Mytilus edulis: one gene and its partners. The main gene of each other region encodes a partner of the protein of the gene in region 2 in a complex. Links are inferred from orthologs where the notes say so. Each region holds a gene or a part of one and is shown on either strand. Other genes may lie near its edges.

Region 1 (7,955 bases), on a different chromosome or scaffold from region 2:
TATCATCCAGTGGTTGTAGGTGCTTAATTTTTGCAATAATTGTCAATAACATTTATTTTTGTATTAAATATCAGGCTGTTAGTTTTCTCTTTTGAATAGATTTTGATGCTTCAGTGATTCCCTATATTATCCACCAAGTTTTTTCCATAAAAAGAATGGCCTTGCTCTTAATCCGCCTCTGGATCATTATAGATTCTGCTATGAAGTTCAGGAAAGAAATAACTTCCCTAATAGATTGTGTACAGTAGATATATAGTGGAAACTAGCATTATACTTACAGCTATTTCTCTACATGCTGACATAGAAATTCCTGTACCTTCTATCTGCTTTAAGGCATATTCTCTTCCATCAGTGCTGAAATTCAAATCAGAGAAATACTTTGGATCCGAAAAAGCTATTTCAAAATTTATACCTAAAAACATGAACATTGCAGAAGTTTTTCTCTCAACCACACAAATGATATTAAATTTAGTGGTTTTTTTTAAATCCTTCAATATGTAATAAAATCTCATACAACATTCTCACTCATAGTATAGTACGTAGCAAAGACTAGATGTATTTGAATGACACATATGGGCCTGTTCGCAAAAAAATCAAGAAGTCATTTTTAGAAATTGTAAAAATTTAATTTTTTGGTAAGCTTTTGAGATGAATGCTGATATTTTTGTGCTTTATAAAAAATATTACCATAAAAAATTAAAATGATATACCCGAATGTATAAGATTTCTGCATGTTGAATAAATAGACTTATACATGCTAAAAATTAGCTGAATATGTGAAGTTCAGTGTATCCCAAACTCTGTCTATCCAACAAAATGTCAGACAAGAAATCATTCGGTCAGACAGAATTTTTTGGAGATTTTGGTTGAATATATATAGAAGAAAAATTCAAATTTCTTTTTCAGTCAGACAAACCCTAAAACAGTTTGGCACAGACTGGAAGTTATGATAAGAAAAAAATAAACAGCTGCTCCACGAGCACATGATACACCTGTCATCTTGTGTGTGAAGTTTTATTCAATAATCATTTGATAATCATAAATAGTTTCTGAGAGGCGACATTGAGTTGGCCTAATTGAAACAATTTTGGAAAAACACACATTTCTCCAAATGTAAAATTTAATCAAATTACATTAACATGTAATTGAAAGTTGACCTGAAAACACATTGCATTCAATTGAATGATAAATTGTAATTTTTAAGGGTGTACGGTTTCATATACATTTTTTTTGTACATGTACATACAATCTCTAATGGGAAGTTATTGTAAAATTGTTTCATTAAGGTACAAATGTATATTATAAATACAATGTTCCCTGTACTCAAACTACACAACAATTTCACAATAATTATCTCATAGATGTGGAACCGTAATCTTAAGAGGGTAGGAATGCCCTCTAAAGTCAGGTGTCAAACAGTCACTTTCAGCTACCTTTAGAGTCAAATTGATAAACTTTTACCATCATTTGTCAAATTGATAAACTTTTACCATCATTTGTCAAATTGGTAAAAAGTTTACCATCATTTGTCAAATTGATAAACTTTTACCATAATTTGTCAAATCATCCCTATCATGATACGTCAAAGATCCTACATGTAAATAAGATAGTATCTAAATTTAATGTAATTTATCAAAATCAGTCATTTTTTTTTATTGTCTTAAAGAAAGCATATTTTTGATTGTCATGCATCAAACATTACTGTTGACATCATTTGGCAATTTTTTTTTACTGTTATTCACCAATAAGGTAAAAATGTACCCCCTTTACGACCTTCTCTAATATCTTTTTGATATTTTTAAACAATTTTAAGATGGATGGTCTACAATTTGTAAATTTGAATTGTTTTACATTGTTATTTCGGAGTCTTTTAAAGCTGACTATGTGGTATGGGCTTTGTTCATTGTTGAAGACTGTATAGTCTGTAATTTCTGTGTCATTTTGGTCTCTTGTGGAGAGTTGTTTCATTGGCAATCATACCACATCTTCTTTTTTTATATTTAAAAGAGCTACGGTTCTACAGCTACATCAAAGATTAGTATAGTTTACTATACAAATCTTTGAATATATTGTATATAATCTGATGACTGTCATGAGGGTAATAATAAATGCCCTTTACTGTCTGTAAATTAGTGTCAAAGTGATTGAAATTTTACAGTGATTTGTCAAAATCCTCTTATCCTGATTTGTCAGAGGTCTTTTTATAATTATAAAATGTTACTTTTATTTTTGGAAAAATTTAACGTGATTAATGATTTGTCAAAATCTTTCGATGTTTTTATCGACTAAAAGAAAGTCCATATATATATATTTTATTATCATTTTACAGTTTACAACATTTGTCAAGAACTATTACCGTTATTTGTCATGAAGGTACCACACCTGATCATAGACATATAACATAACAAATCATTAAATTTATATACATTCATGACATTGTACAAATGTAGATTGCCATTGACATATAGTCAATACTCAAATAATTGTACAAAAATAGAAAAACAATAAGGAATTCTTATCATTCTTCAAAAAAAGACACGTATTATGAATTTATCTATACGTCTATAATGCGTGATGGCAAGAAATACTAAGACAGTCTGCACCAAAAACTTTTTCAACTACTAGTCCGAAGACCAATATCCTGACATTTTTCTTGTTGGTCCAAACAAATTTTTGCAAAACTTACTAGTCCGAATAAAATTTTACTAGTCTGGGGTATCGGACTAGTGGCTAACCGTGCAGACTGCTAAGAAATAAAGAAATAACTCTTAAAAAATATAAAATCGACGATTTAGTGTGCGAGACATATGCTTCAAACACACTTTAACCTGTTCTTCCTTTTGCCTTTATACACATGTCCATATGTTCCTCGTCCAACTTTGCATCCTTCGTAATCGAAAAGGTCCTCGACTTTTGCTCTTTCTGCATTGGTTTTCTGCTTATATTCAAAATCCATTTCTTTGACGGCTCCAAAATATTTATTTTCCTAAAGATGCTTAATAAATAAAATTCCGTTGTTAAAAGCGTGTTGATGATCAATACGATCTAATTACAGAACATTCACGGAACCACTCAACTATTCCGGGTTTTCAACACTGGCAACGCCACTGCTGGTGGAGATTTATTTCTCCGAGTGTATCACAAGCCCAGTAGTCAGTACTTTTTGTGCTGACATGAATTGTCATTGATATGGTTATATTTATAAATTTACTGTTTACAATTTTTGGAATTTTTGTACTAAGGCTTTTCTACCTCAGGCATAGATTACCTTTAGCTGTATTTGGCAAAACTTTTATGAATTTCGGTCCTCAATGCTCTTCAACTTCGTACTTTATCATGTTTATAATATTTGGCCTTTTTTTTTTTTTTTTTTTTTTTTTTAACTTTTTTGGATTCGAGCGTCACTGATGAGTCTTTTGTAGACGAAACGCGCGTCTGGCGTATATACTAAATTTAGTCCTGGTATCTATGATGAGTTTATTTAAAGGAACACTATAACCCGAATAATTCAGTCGTTATATTCCGCTGATCTACGAAGGCTACATTAACGCCTGAACGTCTTCCTCGATCAAGACCGTCAACCGGAAAATCCACACCGCTTTGCAATATGGGAATTTTTATTTAAATTGGCAGCTAAAGAAGGAGGAGTTCCGGATGTTAATTGATGATAAATGATGTTAATTGATGTTAATTAATTATTATCGGATTTGTGTTAATTGAACACACGTGTGTGGTAAGGCAATTTCAAGAGAGTTGCGCAGACTCATATCCTGATCGCCGCTGATTGGCTCTCTCTCACAGAGAGCAGGCGACGCGGCCAATGATCACAAAGAGTTCAAGCCCTCGTGTGGGAGAAAATCGGACACGGAAAGGGCTTGAATTATTCGAGTTAGGAACACTATAGCTACGAGATATATATAAAAAAAAAAATATGATTTATTTTTGTTCAATTAATCATTTTAATAGTGAAATAATAATTCGCCTTTAGCGGCCAGTATGTTTCAATTTTGTCAAAATAAGCTGAGAAACATTGATGATGAATAATTATCTTGTTTATCTCAGCCGTTGCCAAAGTCATGGAATAATTCGACTTCATTCACGGAATCCGTATTTATGTGAACTTCAGCTAGAGATGGATAACGCATAAATTGTGCGTTTTGAGTATTTAAAGGAAAATAATGCCAACGTTGAAAGTGAAACAAAAGTAAACTGACCATTTGACGTTGACTGATTCGATCCACAAAATATCCTTTTTATACAGGTACCGTACAAATATAAAACGATGATTAACATATATTTTTAATGTACAATATTAAGTTAAAGAGACCTAGAAAAATACAAATGCACGAGCTAGTTTCTATCTATATCTATATTATGTTTATATCGGTCTGAGGTCTCCGGAGGTCAACTCGATAGTTAATTAGATGCATGGCGTCTAGACTAAAATACACACATAACGAAGTAACATGTTCCCGAGCCCATACCCTGCCGTTGCAAAACCATATAGAATAAAGAATAATGAGCAACGAAGTAACATGTTCCCGAGCCCATACCCTGCCGTTGCAAAACCATATAGAATAAAGAATAATGAGCAAACTGAAGAAAAGAATACAGAAAAATAACCAAACAATTAATAGGATACAGAAAGTGAGGATAATCCCATCCATAGTACCCCAGTCATTCATCTTGATATCTATATCACTAATGGAAAGCTGAATACTAAAATTTATGATAGAAGGGATGATTTTTCATTTCCTATCGTTAATTATCCGTTTTTAGATGGTGACGTTCCCTTGTCACCATCTTACGGTGTTTATATATCTCAACTTGTACGATTCGCTCGTGTATGTAACAATGTTTTAGATTTTAACGAGAGAAATTTATGTATTACTGAAAAACTATTACACCAGGGTTTTCGATATCACAAACTAGTCAAAACATTTACTAAATTTTATCATCGGTATAAAGACATCATTCGTAAATATAGCTCAACATGCAGACTTCTAATACGTTCAGGTATTTCACATCCAATTTTTTATGGAAATATTCTTTATAAAGCACAAAGGTGTCAGTATTAACCTCAGAAACTTACAAAACCTTTGAATAGACTTATTAAGAAGGGATATAATTACGATACTGTTGTCAAGTCATTAAAGATTGCATATTTTGGAGTTAATATTGAGTCACTGATAAGGTCTTTGCATCGGAACTAAACACATTTATTCTAAAAACAGTTGTTGGCATGACACGGGTTATGTTCTTCTCATATATGTTATGATGGTATGATACTAAACCCCTAACGGGAAGGATTGTGCCTGATGTTCATATGATGAAATCATAATCTTTCAGTCAGTTTAATTGAAGTCTGGAGCTGGCATGTCAGTTAACTGCTAGTAGTCTGTTTTTATTTATGTATTATTGTCATTTTTTTTATTTTCTTTGGTTACATCTTCTGACATCAGACTCGGACTTCTCTTGAACTGATTTTTAATGTGCGTATTGTTATGCGTTTACTTTTCTACATTGGTTAGAGGTATAGGGGGAGGGTTGAGATCTCACAAACATGTTTAACCCCGCCGCATTTTTGCGCCTGTCCCAAGCCAGGAGCCTCTGGCCTTTGTTAGTCTTGTATTATTTTAATTTTAGTTCCTTGTGTACAATTTGGAAATTAGTATGGCGTTCATTATCACTGGACTAGTATATATTTGTTTAGGGGCCAGCTGAAGGACGCCTCCGGGTGCGGAAATTTCTCGCTACATTGAAGACCTGTTGGTGACCCTCTACTGTTGTTTTTTATTTGGTCGGGTTGTTGTCTCTTTGACACATTCCCCATTTCCATTCTCAATTTTATCACTGAAGCAAATACCGATAAAACAGGTCTCTAACAAATGATCAGATAGCAATGTTTGACCAATATCAAACAGTTTTGCATGTGGCAAACACCTTCCATGGGCAACTGTCTAATACACTTAACATTCAGTGACAAATATTTCAAGCAGGTACAGCTGGGACGTTTACAAATCAACCATACATATAGTGGGCAGGTCCTGTTAAGTAGGCCGCCTTCCGAGAAGAAGGTTGGGGAAAAGTAGCCTGGTACACATGAAAGCAGCTGTTGAGATGATAGAAAAGTTTAAAAAAACAACTTGTAAGCATATATAAGATAGCATTTAGAAAAAAAGAACTGTACACATAGAGCTATTTTTTTTTTTATAGAAAACACTCGGTATTAGTACAACTAAATGCGTACGGTTTCTTACCAACCGATTCTTTCGTCGAATCTGGGTGCATGGACGTATTTATTGCGTCCGGTGGCGAATGTGTCATGCATGTTCAGGATAATCATAGTGTCATTTGAAACTCTGAACTCTGGTCGGTAACTATTGTAAAGTCTCAGGCGCGGATCCAGAGGGGGGGGGGGGGGGTTCCGGGGGGTGGAACCCCCCTTTTTTTTAGGACGATCAATGCATTTGAATGGGGACATGTAATTGGACCCCCCCTTTGCCCTGGGTTAGGAACCCACCCTTTTTAGAATGGCTGGATCCGCCCCCGAGTCTATTCGACAGGGAACATATTCACACATTTTATTCTAGGCATAGTAAAGATCATTTACACCAATTTTTATTGATATGATTGTGTAGCTTCGTTTGTTAAATGTTTGAAAAAAGTTCACAATGATCAGATAGCAATGTTTGACCAATATCAAACAGTTTTGCATGTGGCAAACACCTTCCATGGGCAACTGTCTAATACACTTAACATTCAGTGACAAATATTTCAAGCAGGTACAGCTGGGACGTTTACAAATCAACCATACATATAGTGGGCAGGTCCTGTTAAGTAGGCCGCCTTCCGAGAAGAAGGTTGGGGAAAAGTAGCCTGGTACACATGAAAGCAGCTGTTGAGATGATAGAAAAGTTTAAAAAAACAACTTGTAAGCATATATAAGATAGCATTTAGAAAAAAAGAACTGTACACATAGAGCTATTTTTTTTTATAGAAAACACTCGGTATAAGTACAACTAAATGCGTACGGTTTCTTACCAACCGATTCTTTCGTCGAATCTGGGTGCATGGACGTATTTATTGCGTCCGGTGGCGAATGTGTCATGCATGTTCAGGATAATCATAGTGTCATTTGAAACTCTGAACTCTGGTCGGTAACTATTGTAAAGTCTCAGGCGCGGATCCAGAGGGGGGGGGGGGGGTTCCGGGGGGTGGAACCCCCCTTTTTTTAGGACGATCAATGCATTTGAATGGGGACATGTAATTGGACCCCCCCCCCCCCCCCCGTTTGTCCTGGGTTAGGAACCCACCCTTTTTAGAATGGCTGGATCCGCCCCCGAGTCTATTCGACAGGGAACATATTCACACATTTTATTCTAGGCATAGTAAAGATCATTTACACCAATTTTTATTGATATGATTGTGTAGCTTCGTTTGTTAAATGTTTGAAAAAAGTTCATGACGGAGGGACGACGAACCTCAAGTATTGAGAAAGGATCTTTGGAACCCTCGGACCAGATTGCTAAAACTAGTCTAACCAAGCCACTTTTTAATATTGGAAAAGAAACGATATGGTGTATCAATTCGTGACACAAAATCACAACTGACATGCGTATGGAAAAAGAAAAGCAAAGGATTCTATCGCTTTATTGCTGTTACCGATCTCAAAATCACAATAAGGCCATGGGGTAAGCATTCTTAAAAAAATTCGTCTATAACACGAAAAAAAGTCAAAGATAAAATACGCAATGGGCACTTTTCACACATTTCCGCGGCAATTTTCAATTTGTATATGGCTAGTGATAAAATAAAAAACTCCTGTACATAGTTTTAATTGTATATATATAGAGAACGTTTTATCCTGTAAATAGCCAAGAGAAAACTTTCTGTGTTGTCCGACATTGCGTTAGTTTTCGCGGGACCTCATACATTCAAGATTTGAATTCGGT
Region 2 (7,498 bases):
AGACCCATGACCAACATTCAATAATTTAACTTCCCTTCCTACTTATACCCTCCCACATCAATTTTGATGCAATATATATTCCTAATACAGATTGTGTACTTTTCTAAGAAAAGACTAAATGTTCTTACTTGTGCCATGTCTGCTTGCATTGCAGCTGATTTCTGAACAACAATATTAACTTTGTCCTCGACCTCTGGTTCTGGTTTGGTACGGAGGTAGTCTGGTACAACTTCATGGTTAAAACAAATTACTCTTCCTTCTGTTAGTTTCTACAGAGCAAATACAATGAATAAAAATTTATGCATGACTAGTTATATTTAGAGGTGCATATAATATTTAGATACATATACATGTACTTAAACAAATAAATGTCTGCAATCATTTTTAATACTTTTTTCTCCTTATCTTAAGGATGTTGGCTCCTCTTGTTTTTTAAGTTTTGTAAGATATTCGAAAATTTTGTATTAAAATCCTTATTATCTTTCCATACTTTTTGAAAGAAAAAAGTTGCCTATGTTAAACATGTTAAATGAATGAAAATTCTTGAGAGAATCATTTCCCTCCAAATTTTCAACAGCATATCTTAGAAACAAGGACATGGACCCTTCATTTTTTTCTGCTATATTACATCTATTATTTATAACAGTCTTTTATAAAGCTTGTTATTTAGAAGCAGAGAAGCAAACCTCTTAAATATTTTTATCGCCTATTTTCATGATTTTTCATTGAAACAAATGAGATAAGCAAAAATCTGTCACAGATGACATAAACACACAGGTGCAAGCTGGTTTTTACTTCTTCTCTGAATTTGAAGATTTGCGAGTATTTTGATTTTTATAAACACCTTATATAATTATAAACATTAAAGTTACCATAATTGAAAAGTTTAACTTAAGTGAAAAGTCCCTTCCTGAAGTTTATTCATGTTTATTGAATATACAATAAGTCATACTTAAATCATAGATCAAATTTATTCTTTCATTGTATGTTCACACATGTTAATATGTCGTGTTCAGCCATTTCAAATTTCAATTGATATCTTATATTGTGTCTTTCTGTGTTGTGATGTTACACTATTGTTTCAGATAAGGGTGAAGGTTTGGTACCATGTAAACAATTAAACCCACTGAAATTGTTTGCACCTCATGAATCTGATGTTAAGTAGTTGTCGTTTGTTGATTTGGTTCATAACATAAGTGTTTCTCGTTTCATGTTTTTTATATAGATTAGACCGTTGGTTTTCCCATTTAAAAGGTTTCACACTAGAAATTTTTGGAGGCCTTGATAGCTTGTTGTTCAGTGCAAGCCAAGGCTCCGTGTTGAACACCTTAATTTTACCTATAATGGTTTACTTTTATAAATTGTGACTTGGATAGAGAGTTGTCTCATTGGCACACATACCACATCTTCTTATATCTATTAGATCATAAAATAATGTATGATTTATCTTTTCAGTACCTCAAGTTCAGCATCTCTATCAGGTCTCAGTGCCAGCGGTAACAAGAGATGATTTCGAAGATGTGGTGATCTGTCATTTTTCAGGACTTTACCAAGACTATTTAGCTGACCAGATATCAGAGCAAAATTATCCAGCACAGATGGCCTGAAAACAAGAAGGGATATTTTAAGACATTAACTACATGAACATGCTCTCTGATTAAAAGAAAGAACATATCGAATTTTTAATCATTATCATGATAAAAGGTTTAAGCAGATAGTAGCTTTTAAGGTAAGAATTTATACTTCAATAAAAAAAAAATGACATATAGCTATCATGGCTATAGTCAAGTACAATTCATTATTTACAAGTAACTTCTATAATAATTTTAGCTCATTTACAATGTCTAATATATCAAAGTTTGTTATTTTTTGTACATGTTTTTTTAATTTTATTCTGCCACATCATGTTTACATTTGCCAGATGGTAAACATGGTAATTGTACAAAACAGTTTTGAAATTTTAATAAAATATTTGTCAAAGAAAATGCATCTTATTTTGAGATTCCCTGGTCTTGTGATCTTTTTGTGCTTGATTCTTATTGTCTGTTCTTTCATCTGTTCATTGAACTATCCAGCTCCTTTGCAATTTCTGAGTTGTGTTAAGAATTGTATTATGCATAACTCAGTGTTTATATCAGTATGATCATGTGTCCACACTTTGTCTGTTGTCTAAAGGAGCATATTAACCATTAAAACATAATGTCCTACCAATTCAATGTTTGATATTCATTTTCAAGCTTAAAGAGAAACGATGCAATGGAATTTTTGATATCCTGAACTCTGTGGATCAAGGCATCTACAGTGGCTTCTAATTGCTTTTCTTCTTTCTGGAAAAAATCAAATGAAATATGTACATTGTAGTTGTAGTCATGGTAGTAAATTTGTAAAGCTAGTAAAACCGGTCTTTTCAGAATAAACATATTCAGCCATTTTCTGGTCTTAGCCTAACACTAATTTTAATTTCACAAAATGTATGTACTCTTATGATAATTTAACCCTTTCATGTATCCTTTTTACATCCTTGTGGGCATGCTGAATGTATCCATTTGGCACATCAGTGTAGATGCCGAATTCGAAAGCATCCTTTTAAGGATACAATGTACATAAATTTTCTATTTTTAGACTATCACAATCAAGAGGGTGACATAGAATTATTAAACTGTCAAAATTATTTTCAATAAGTGTAAAAGTTTAACAGCCAAGGTGAAAAAAATGAAGACCACAACAAACAAGGCAGACAAGATTGACAAAGTCAACTTTCTAGTTAATTTACCAATGAAAGCATTATAAAATTATAATATATAAATATAATATGATGGAAACTGAAAGAAGACCATGAGAAAGATACTAATAGTATTTTTGCTGTCAAACACATGCACTTTGTATACATGATAAAATGAACAGCATAAACATAATAAACGTGAAGTTTTCTTTTAAAACTTTTTTTTTAACTCCAAAAATCCTTCAGGGATAACTATGCACCTCTTCCAACAGGTGCATGCCTTCTTTATAACTGTTTCCTCAAAACACACTCTATAAAATTAGTTTTTAACCTGCATTTTTGTTTTTCTTTATAATAGTTTCTTGATTTTTAAACCGGAAATACAATACCGAATTCACGCATGCGCAATCGGAAGAATTTACCAAATCGCATATCAGCCATTATTTTGAAGGATCTGAAAAGACAGAATTTTATTATATAAAATTTATATCAAGAATATTCAAGGCTGAAAGGTAACTGTTTTGAAACCCATACACTTCCAGGTTCTACATGAAGCTACTTTGAACCAATCCGCGCACCTTGTTTCATTGAATAATTCTTTGTTCTCATTGGTGGGTAGGTCAGTGTTGATTGGGTGTCGATTCCCGACCAATTTATTGGTCCACTCTTCGACCCAATCTCCAATGATAATTTACAAACATTTCCCTGTATCAAAGAAGTAGCAATTTATAAATGAAATAAAATGTTTCTCCAAATAAACTCTCTGTGATCGACAGTCATGTGTTGACAAATATCCCCTCACGGACAGAACAAAAATGGCTTCCTTGAATTGCTTTCTATTTTTAGAATGTTACTACAAAAACAAATTCTGAAAATGAATTTCCCATAATTTTATCAACCTTTGGTGTTGTCTCAGTTAATATTGGAACTATGCAGAATGAGACTGATCAAAGTAAGACATTGATATACATGTATTTATATTTAATATTATTCTCATTTTTGTACAAGAACTACCCCCTTTCCCTCTTTTTCATGCATATATTTGTGAAATATAGAAAAAAAATGCTTTGATATGAATAAATGTCACTCAATTTAGGCTAGACACTTCAGCGGTGGATCCAGAATTTTTCATAAGGGGTTGGGGCCACTGACTGCCTCAGATGGCCGCTCAAGTCATGCCTCATACAGTGTTTCCCTGTAGAATCAACCAATTTACCACAAAAAGGGGGGAGTCCACCCCTCCCACCACCACCACCAAATCTGCATCTAGACTTGGGTATTAAAATGTATTTTATACAAGATTGTTTAAAATGCAAAAATAATTCTTCATTCATTTTATGTTTGGAAATTTAAAAAAAGATATAATTTACCATTTTACCCTTTATACCTTTACATGTAGCTTTATCCTGTAGTCCTTAAATAGGCTAATGGTGTCTACTGACTCCTCATCTTGGAATGTCTTTCTCATCTCATAATAATTGCATAATAATATATTTATATATATTATATTTATTTTAAAAAAAAACTTATTTAGGGAATATGAAAAAGAAATTTGAGTTGTCTCCCTGTTTTTCCTCTAAAATTAAAATTAACACTTTAAATTTAAATCTTTGCATTTAAGTTTTAAATGGTAACAAATATTTTATAAAATCATAATTTACAATTTTCATGTCATATTGCTTTCATGTTTGACATAGGCATACCTCAAAATTTGAAGTAAGTAACATCAATAAAATTTTATAAATACCTTTGAATAAAAGTATAAAAAAAAGTGATAAAGTGTGTGTTGAAAATGTTTGCCTCAACATATATTTGAAACTACTTCTTTTTGGGCAAATAGACTACTATCCAGTAGTTCTTGAATAAAAGTGAATATGCAGTGTGTGAAAAATTACAGATGATGGTCTCAAACTGGTAGACTGACAAGACTGTTTATTTACTCTTGAGTATGTAAATTTTTGACCTGTAACCAAATCTGTGGTAGGACCTTCTGGTACTGGATCAAGTAAGAGCTAAGAGAAAAATCATGTTGACAATCACATGAATCTGTGCAAATTGTGAATTCTAATATGATGTTTAATTGTAATTGCAATAAAACTGTGATTGACATCATAATTGAAATTGCAATGTCAGTTGTACTTTGAACCATGCTCTAGATCTAAATGAACATTTGTGTTGCTTTTGCTTGCTAGGAAATTAAATAAAATCATTTTAAAAGTAATTTTATCCATATATGATATCATATGCCCGTTAATGGGATGTATTATTAAAAACCGTTAATTGTCCGTCCATCAATTGTCATGTTGGACATTAACTTAAAAATGTTTAAACCAATTTGCATGAAACTTTGTCAGGTGAATTGTTTATACATGTATCTGTTTGATTTATTTATAAATTTTAGATTTTACATTTCTGAGTTTTATTCATTATAAAAGGGGGGATTTTTTCAACAATAACTCAAAAACACTTTCACTAATTTGCACGAAACTTTGGCAATGTTTATTTACAATGACATTTATAAATATATATAAGCTCCTTTTCAATTTTTATAAATTTTTTATTTTACATTTCTGAGTTATGGGATTTAATTCACAAAAAGGGGGGATTTTCAAGTTTTCGAACACTATACCTACAATATGTAAAGTGCTTTGGGCAGTTTTCTATAAACTTTAGTGACTGATTTACATGTATATCTATTAAGATAACCTTCCTTTAGTTATTATACATTTCTGATACATGTATGGTATTGAGAAGTTATTGAACTTTATTCTTTGAAAATGCCACTGGTGTATCATGCCTCATGGGGCGCAGCTGTTTATTTTTTTATTGTTAAATATAAACATGTTGAATTGTTGGTTTTCTATAATGTTTTGGTAAATCACATCAAAATGGCTACCTTTCGAATATACATGTATAAATAATAGGTCCAAATTGAAGTACAAAAGTTATAAATTTGCCTATCAGAACATGCTCTATATGCTGATTTTAACTTGAGTAGGTATTATTTTTATGCCCCACCTACGATAGAAGGGGCATTAGGTTTTCTGGTCTGTGCCTCCGTCGGTCGTCCTTCCGTCTGTGCGTCCGTTCGCTTCAGGTTAAAGTTTTGGTCAAGGTAGTTTTTGAAGAAGTTGAAGTCCAATCAACTTGAAACTTAGCACACATGTTCCCTATGATATGATCTTTCTAATTTTAATGCTAAATTATAGTTTTAACCCCAATTTCGTGGTCCACTGTCAGAACATAGAAAATGATAGTGCGAAGTTCAGGTTAAAGTTTTTGGTCAAGGTAGTTTTTGATGAAGTTAAAGTTACATCAACTTGAAACTTAGTACACATGTTCCCTATGATATGATTTTTCTAATTTTAATTCCAAATTAAAGGTTTAACCCCAATTTTCACGGTCCACTGAACATAGAAAATGATAGTGCGAGTGGGGCATCCGTGTACTATGGACACATTCTTTTTGTCTATAATTTAATCTAATTAACACTCAGTATAAAGATATTGACAAAAATAATACCTACATATATACATGTACACACATGTTAAAATAAGCATTGAGCATGGCATGAACAAATTGTATCTTAAAAGATTAGCTAATTTATGTTAATATAGATACAACAAAATAATAGAAAGGCATTCAAATTTCTCCAAAAATGTCCCAAACTGTAAGCTCATTTTACTTCTTTTAGTGCTCTTACTGGAGTTTGTGGCTGTCGTATATTAACGTAATGCCAGAATATCCTACATGTACCACAGAGCAGAGGTTTTTCCCCATTATCCTCTATAGCTAGTCCCCATTCTAAGTCATACCCTCATATCTCCTATTTTTACCAATTTTGAACAATTGCTATTCCATTTAAGGTACTGCTCTTTGTTAAATTCGATTTCTGGAAAAGTATTTTGTGTTAATCAGGACTTTTCCATTATAGATTAGTTTCCTGAACTTGAAACAGGATATATGTTCTTGTAATGTTAAACACTTCCTATTAACGCAGTTGTTTATCACGTTCATACATCAAATTAGTACAACATTTATACATGTATATAGAAATACTGTCAAAAGGTACATTTGACCCAGGGATTATCTACATGCAATAAGGAAAAAGATTTTTCTGGTACAGTGTGCCTGGAACATAAATTAATTTTACTCATGCTTGTACATGCTGTATATGGAAAGTTAAAATCAATATGTAGTTTATTTTGAAAACTATTATAAACAACTGCTTCACCATGTTTAATGCATATATACAATGCATCAAGTAAAAATCAATGATTTTGATGATATTCTTTATATTTAATTTTTTCTACAGGCTGACACGGCAACTGGTCTACATTTTTGGGGGTTACTCTATTTTTAATTGCATGACCTTTGATCTTATATTTAATCGGATTTTTTCCCTTGACATTGAACCATTTATCATTGCACTTTTAGATTTGTTAATTATTAGTATAACATGTTTTTAGAACACAAACAAGGAAATGTCAAATAAAATCTATAGTGATATGATATTATTATATAATAGTAATTAGAGGGAAATTTAAAATAGAACGATTATTTCACATTTGAAAAATTATTTCTTCAGAGAGTTTCCAAGATGGAGTACCCAACATCAGGACAGTCACCTAATGCTGCATCAATAAGTGGTGAAGCTGCAGCCATGCTGAACACATTCTGGCCTGATGCAATGAAAGATATCAGAGACCTAAAAAATGTAGGTAGATTTGTATTTAACAAACAAACTTATTAATTAGTTTTAATGTTAACAATTAA
Region 3 (7,297 bases), on a different chromosome or scaffold from region 2:
ATACTGTTGTAAAATTCCTACACTGTTGCAAAAATGATCAGCCATCTGCAAATAGAAAATTTTCATAAATATTTAATGCAAATTTAGAATTTTTTTTTATATCTAATACAAAGAAAAAAAACAGAGTTCCAATTTCCACTGAGTTGCAGATATTTTATCTGAAAAAAACAACACTTTTGTTTATTCAAACTTTTCACAAATATTTTAACATTTGATATAATTTTGATAAAAATCTGGCAAATGTTATTCACATAAGGGCACCTACAATCGATTTTTCCATTTAATTATTAAGAAAGTCAAATGAAGTGGATGTAAGCAATTATAGGCAACCTACAGCCGTCAACAATGAGAACCAGATGCTCCGCAGGGCGCAGCTATATACGACCGCAGAGGTTGAACCCTGAACAGTTGGGGCAAGTATGGACACAACATTTAAGCTGGATTCAGCTCTTAATTTGGATTGTGATTAAATAGTTGACACAGCATAGGTTTCTGACACAGAATGAATGTGGTCTAATGAACTTAAAATATTTTTTTTGCCTTTGAGCAATTCACTATGCTGTTGAATATTAATCCTCTCAAAAAAATGTTTGAAGAAATTTTCTTTTTATTTATGAAATCTGAAATGAGAAAAATTTACCCCCCCCCCCCCCCCAATTTTTTTTTCACATCCCCCTTTCCCTTTTTCCAAAACTGATCTCAATTCAAATTCCTAATGAAGTTTGCAACAATAACTACTCATTTAAATACATCATAAAATATTAAAATGTAAAATAAAGTGCTTGTTATCACTGAATGGTAAAGATTGTTTTAATTTATCAGTTGGTAGTAAAAGTGAATATACATTGTATATTGTATAAAACAATGATTTAAGTTGATTCAACTACTATTCTGGACAAAGAAAGATAACTCCAATCAATTGAAAATTTCTTGCTATTGCACAATATTGTGCAATTAGATATTTCTTGCTATTGCGCAATACTGTGCAATTGAAAATATTTGCTATTGCACAAATTGACAATACTGTGCAATTGAAGATTTCTTGCTATTGCGCAAAACTGTGCAATTGAAGATTTCTTGCTATTGCTGAATACTGTGCAATTGAAAATTTCTTGCTATTGCACAATACTTCATATAATAGTTTTGGATCCTGATTTGAACCAACTTGAAAACTATAATTAAAAATCTAAGTACATGTTTAGATTCCGCATATCAAAAAAGCTCAAGAATTCAATTTTGGACCCTTTGGACCTTAATGAAGACCAATTTGAAAACGGGACCAAAAATTAAGAATCTACATACACAGTTAGATTCGGCATATCAAAGAACCCCAATTATTCAATTTTTGATGAAATCAAACAAAGTTCAATTTTGGACCCTTTGGGCCCCTTAATTCCTAAACTGTTAGGATCAAACCTCCAAAAATGAAACCCAACCTTCCTTTTATGGTCACAAACCTTGTGTTTAAATTTCATAGATTTCTATTTACTTATACTAAAGTTATGGTGCGAAAACCAAGAATAATGCTTATTTGGCCCCCTTTTTGGCCCCTAATTCCTAAACTGTTGGGACCAAAACTCCCAAAATCAATCCCAACCTTCCTTTTGTGTTCATAAAACTTGTGTTTAAATTTCATTGATTTCTATTTACTTATACTAAAGTTATTGTACGAAAACCAAGAATAATGCTTATTTGGGCCCTTTTTTGGCCCCTAATTCCTAAACTGTTGGGATCAATCCCAACCTTCATTTTGTGGTCATAAACCTTGTGTCAAAATTTCATAGATTTCAATTTACGTAAACTAAAGTTATAGTGCGAAAACCAAGAAAATGCTTATTTGGGCCCTTTTTGGCCCCTAATTCCTAAAATATTGGGACCAAAACTTTCAAAATCAATCCCAACCTTCCTTTTGTGGTAATAAACCTTGTGTTAAAATTTCATAGATTTCTATTCACTTTTACAAAAGTTAGAGTGTGAAAACTAAAAGTATTCGGACGAAGACGACGATGCAAGACGACGACGCCAACGTGATAGCAATATACGACGAAAAATTAAAATTTTTGCGGTCGTATAAAAACCCATACTGTGTGGTCGTCTACAAAAGGTCCTGACTTGAAAAATATGAAGCAAATCAATTGAGAAGAATAATAGCTTAATTTACAATAAAACAGTTTACGAAAAACAAATATGACAGAGGTACATTTTGATAGACTCTAACAAAGCTGATAACCAGTTGGTGCATCCTAGTCTTATGAGTCTTTGTGCTATTAAAATTGCAATGTGACGTAACAATTTCCAAATAAAAGGCATACCTAGTTCAAATTCTTTTGACGTTTGTACAATGTACAAATACATATGATAGCATGTTTATCTATTGTCTTAAAAAATCATAATATCTAATAAAATTAGTAGGTTTAGCTAACAAAGTCCTTATATTTGAATAAAGTAACATTCATTTTTAGTGGAAAATTGTTTTAACGTTAATTAAGCTATAATTATAGATAATCGGTCAACGATAAACTTTTTATCGCTATTTTACCTATGACGACGTTGTCAATTTCATGTCAATTTCATTAGCAAAGCCACGTGCATGCTTAGTTTCTAGCGATAATTTTCCATCTCAAGCGAGTAGCATACATTACATGTACATATGGTAATCTTTGCATTTGAAGCACGTCTTATTTTCTTCTACCTATAGGATAATACTTTCATATTAATATGTTTATACCAACACGATTAATCATTTGATACAAAAAGGTATTCTTCATGATGAACCACCGGTGTTACTATTTGCCGGGTTTACTATCCCATGTGAATGAACATTAACGTTAAACTAAAATTATCTGTTTCGTTTTACTTGATTTACAGCATCCTGTAGCTGTGTCAGTCTGTCTGCCATTTCAAATCTGCCACAAGTTTAGTATAAATCCTATATAAGCATTATTTGTGTTAACTGGATACAAAAGTGTCAAAATTTCTAGCAATAGCAGTTTAAACCTTGACCTTTTACAAAGGGCTGAGTAATAACCAACAAATATCTTCATACAACATTGTACAACAATTAACGTTATTTACACTTTATACAGAATAGTAGACTATTCACCGGGCTTGTAATAACATAAGGTAGCAATAAACAGTTAGGAAAAAATACTAAAATTTGCCCTTATGAATTTTACCATCCCCTTTTCATTGCTTTCTTGCAATATCAAGCTTACTGTTTGTGTCATATATGGGCATATGTATGTAATCAGAACCTTCCATAGATTATATATCCAGTATATAAAATGGTAAAATATATTTTCTTTTTGGTGTATCCATGGCAACAATCTGCATTTATTTGTTATAAAATATTGCAAAAAGGGGGGGAAAGATGTCACATATTTCCCCAAAATTTGGCTAAAAGTAGAATTTCAATCACTTGAAGTAGTACCTTTTCTGAAACTGTGTACATATATCATTCAGCAAATCCAATGAAAATCATATGTCTTTCGTCTCATTTTTTTGTAAAATTGCGTCAAAAACTTCGTGTAGAAAAACAGTGTTTGTAAACAGTACATTAATTTCTGGACCGATGGCCGGTCTAGCTATGAAAATACGGATTGTCAAACAGAAAACAGCCCATAAAACATGTAAAAAATAATCTTGATGGTCTTATAAACCATCTTTGAAGGCTAAATTAGCACTCATCTGTCTAAAAATGAATTTTATTACACAATAACTTTCCTATTTGAAAAATTCACAGGGGCCAAAATGCGAAACTAAACTCCTAACTGTGTATTGCTACCTAATCAACACGACGGGTGCCACATATACAGCAGGATCTGCTTACCCTTCCGGAGCACCTAAGATCACCCCCCAGTTTTGGTGGGGTTTCGTGTAACTTATTCTTAAGTTTTATTACTAAATATAGTACATGTGAACAATTTTCTTCATTTTCTTCAAAAATCATAATGTTTTCGTCTATTTATATACCATTCTACATCAGAAATGCATGGCATAGACAGTGAAAATGGTATTTTAGTATCCGCACTTTACATACACTGGTCTAATTACTTACTTAAAAAAAAACCGAGCATAAAAATGTACGTTCCTTCTCTATTAACTAATGTATTCAGCATTGGATTTTAGTTGTACCAAGCTTTCTTTATTACCCAGAAACCAAAGCTCTTCCTTTCAACCATTTTACTTGATCAAAGAAGTTGTTCACAGTTTCGTGTCTGAAAGACTTAAAAGTATACATGAATATTTCTTCTTAACAAACTGAAAAACATTTAGGTCATGAGAAAACTAAAAATTCTACACATTTTAGCAATTCAAAAACACCACAGCTCTTCTGAAAAGTTTTACCATATCATTTTTGGTTGACCACGTGGTTGTAAAATATTTCATCCTTTGGCATTGAAACACGTGCAAGTCTATAAACTGATTTGGCCTGTTTTTCGTTAGTCTGAAATATGTGTTAGCAGGGAAAGGGGACAAAGTGTTTGCATTTATTTTTTTTCTTCAAAATTCAAGCATGAAAAAAATATTCATCTTCGTATTGACTAATTTGCGGTCTCGCTAATTAGTAATTAGCAACAAGAAGAAAAAAATTAACGACAAAAAAATTTATTTACTTGAAAAAAAAAAAAAGATTTTTAAGAAAAAAAAACAAACGTCTTTTTAAAATTTATGCGAAGGGTCTATAGACTTCAGACTTGTTAAATAGAAAAAATGGCAGATAAATTTAAATAATGAACCCCACTTTTTTATCAATAATGTAAATAGTTGAACCTTTCGTCTTGATAAGAAAAAAATTGTGCCTAATAATGGTGTAGTTTTTCGAGTGCCCTTTCTCTTCCTTCTACAATAATGAATAAATTAATCATCATGTGTTCTTTAGGTAAATGTACCAAGTATAGTCGCATTTGTCATCTATTCTTATGATTATCTAGTTAGGTTTATTTTGGGAGAAAAACGAATATAAAGATATCTGGACATTATTTCTGTCATCAGACCAACTTTAAAGTCATACAAGACTCGAGCTTCCGGTTTTCACCTTGAATATAATTTTCATAAGAATACTCTAGGACAGGACAATAATTTTTGTGTTGATAGAGGCTCTCATTATAATATAAAAGTGATTGCCGTGGAGAAGAAACTTGGAAGTTGTTAGTGAATAGCAAATATACTTTATTTATGTTCCAGATCATACAAGTATTTGGACTGCAATTGTACGGTCCAGTAAGAGCTGGATCATAAATGCATTTGGATTAGTATGGGTTTATTTTAGGCGAACTAATCTTTTATTGACTTTTAACAAATAAATATTATTACAATTAAATGAATAAAGTGAATAAGCGAACATTTAATTGATTGAAATTAAGTATTTATTTAATTGTCTATATAAATCCCTATTTTGGTACACTTGCCATGGGTGACACTTGCTGCCACAAGGAATGTCAGATGCTTAAGATGCAAAATTTGCATGATAGTTTTTACAAACATGCATCTTACCAATAAAATCATCAACCCTACATAAGGCCACTTTTTTTTTATTTGTTGTTTTACGGATCCGCCAACCCTGTTTTTCACAATATCAAAATAAAAATAAAAACGATTTTGAAGATTTTTTTGTAATTCCGCCGACCCTTTTCTGTTTGAAGAAGTACAAATAAAAATAAAACATGATAAGAAAGATCAGTCTTTCTTCTTCCAGTCGGAATACCCTCGGAGTGGATTCGAAAATCCCTTGCGGTTCCCTGTTCAGTCAACGTTTCATCATGATCTAATGTGGTGAAAAGGAACCAGTTGAAAGGCGGTTCCCTGTTCAGTCAACGTTTCATCATGATCTAATGAGGTGAAAAGGAACCAGTTGAAAACGGAGGACCAGATACGATTTTACAAATACTTACACATTAATTGTTGGATATTTTCGGTGTAAATCTAGCGGTTGAACAAAATGAACATCGCAGTCATGAATAATAAAAATGATAATTATTTTTGAGATCGTTAGGGAATTTTGGTTTAATTGGACCACCGCTAATTTGAACCCCTGTTTCAGACAGTCAGTGAGGTTGACGGTGGGTCAACTTTGGTTCAAGTGTTGATCAGAAAGTCTGAAACCTATTGAAAGGGGCTGTTTTAGTTCCATTACACATATGAGGTACTAGTCCAAATAATTATGACGTCTGGCAAGGCTTCATGGCATCCCAGATTTGTTTTTATATAGCCTTGCCAGACATCACTAAAGGGAAGGATCTTTTAACTTGCTGCCAGGGATGGGTGTCTGATTAATTGGCCTTATTATATAAATACCTAAATACCCTCCCACGGTACCCATTGAGATTTAATGGAACAGAGGTGGGATATGGTGAACAAGATCCCAACACAAAATGAGAACATGTATTACTGTCATAGAATGCCTGACAATTAAAATCACTTCGACATTTATGAAAAGGGACAATCACAGGATACTTCGAAATATAAGCTAATACTTATTAAACAGTGTAAAATAGCATAAAAAGCCTTAAAAGGACATGTTTTCATGTACATGTACCACATATGAAGGCATATGACATGCAGAGCACATATGGTATTTCCTCAATAAGATTGTATTGTGTTATGAGGAATTTTGTCACTCCCTGATCTAAATTTGATAAATAAATACACAGAACAAAGAGAAATGCAATTGGAAAAGACGCTTCCCTTTCATCAGGGACATATATATATATATCTGCTTTCATCAATCTACATTGACATTAGCTGCGGAACTGTAGCTCTTAGGTCCTTATGTTATTTTTTGACTATTTGCGGACCATAGAGCTACGGATTTTTCCTATTTCAAAACGTTCGGAATTGCGACCCAGGTTCAGGTCCCACTTTTTTCTCCAAAAAATATTGTTTATAATCCATGCAAAACTTGTCAATATATGTATAGTTCGTTTCGTTAGATATTTTTACAACGAGATTCAATATGGTCGAATAAAATAGGCGGAGAATGTATACAAATGGAAATAATTAGATAATAGTGTTAAGGAAATGAATATTCAAACATAAATAGGTACGTCATATCCTAGAAAAATATCTAACGAATCGAACTATATATATTGACAAGTTTTGCATGGATTATATATAAACAATATTTTTTTGAGAAATAAGTGCGACCTGAACCTGGGTCGCAATTCCGAACGTTTTGAAATAGGAAAAATCCGTAGCTCTATGGTCCGCAAATAGTCAAAAAATAACATAAGGACCTAAGAGCTACGGTTCCGCAACTACATTGACATTGGACTCCTTGTAACACATTTAATTTAAA

What was found. The genes of interacting proteins can lie anywhere in the genome.
Region 1: mediator of RNA polymerase II transcription subunit 8-B-like (region 2) and cyclin-dependent kinase 8-like share a complex: the UniProt entries of both Caenorhabditis elegans proteins name them as parts of the mediator complex. The link is inferred for Mytilus edulis from reciprocal best matches to the Caenorhabditis elegans genes mdt-8 and cdk-8.
Region 3: mediator of RNA polymerase II transcription subunit 8-B-like (region 2) and mediator of RNA polymerase II transcription subunit 21-like share a complex: the UniProt entries of both Caenorhabditis elegans proteins name them as parts of the mediator complex. The link is inferred for Mytilus edulis from reciprocal best matches to the Caenorhabditis elegans genes mdt-8 and mdt-21.

The regions. Positions count from the first base shown.
Region 1 is NC_092353.1:33,984,814-33,992,768, reverse strand, and holds the start of cyclin-dependent kinase 8-like, read right to left. Parts: upstream 3,026-7,955; 5' UTR 2,957-3,025; coding exon 2,823-2,956; intron 355-2,822; coding exon 279-354; intron 1-278. UniProt on the Caenorhabditis elegans protein: Component of the Mediator complex, a coactivator involved in regulated gene transcription of nearly all RNA polymerase II-dependent genes.
Region 2 is NC_092344.1:62,053,262-62,060,759, forward strand, and holds the start of mediator of RNA polymerase II transcription subunit 8-B-like, read right to left. Parts: upstream 3,016-7,498; 5' UTR 3,001-3,015; coding exon 2,983-3,000; intron 2,328-2,982; coding exon 2,209-2,327; intron 1,604-2,208; coding exon 1,459-1,603; intron 270-1,458; coding exon 129-269; intron 1-128. Other genes in the region: nuclear transcription factor Y subunit gamma-like, read left to right, coding at 3,660-3,674, 7,311-7,439. UniProt on the Caenorhabditis elegans protein: Component of the Mediator complex, a coactivator involved in the regulated transcription of nearly all RNA polymerase II-dependent genes.
Region 3 is NC_092349.1:41,335,757-41,343,053, reverse strand, and holds the start of mediator of RNA polymerase II transcription subunit 21-like, read right to left. Parts: upstream 3,026-7,297; 5' UTR 2,900-3,025; coding exon 2,858-2,899; intron 46-2,857; coding exon 1-45. UniProt on the Caenorhabditis elegans protein: Component of the Mediator complex, a coactivator involved in the regulated transcription of nearly all RNA polymerase II-dependent genes.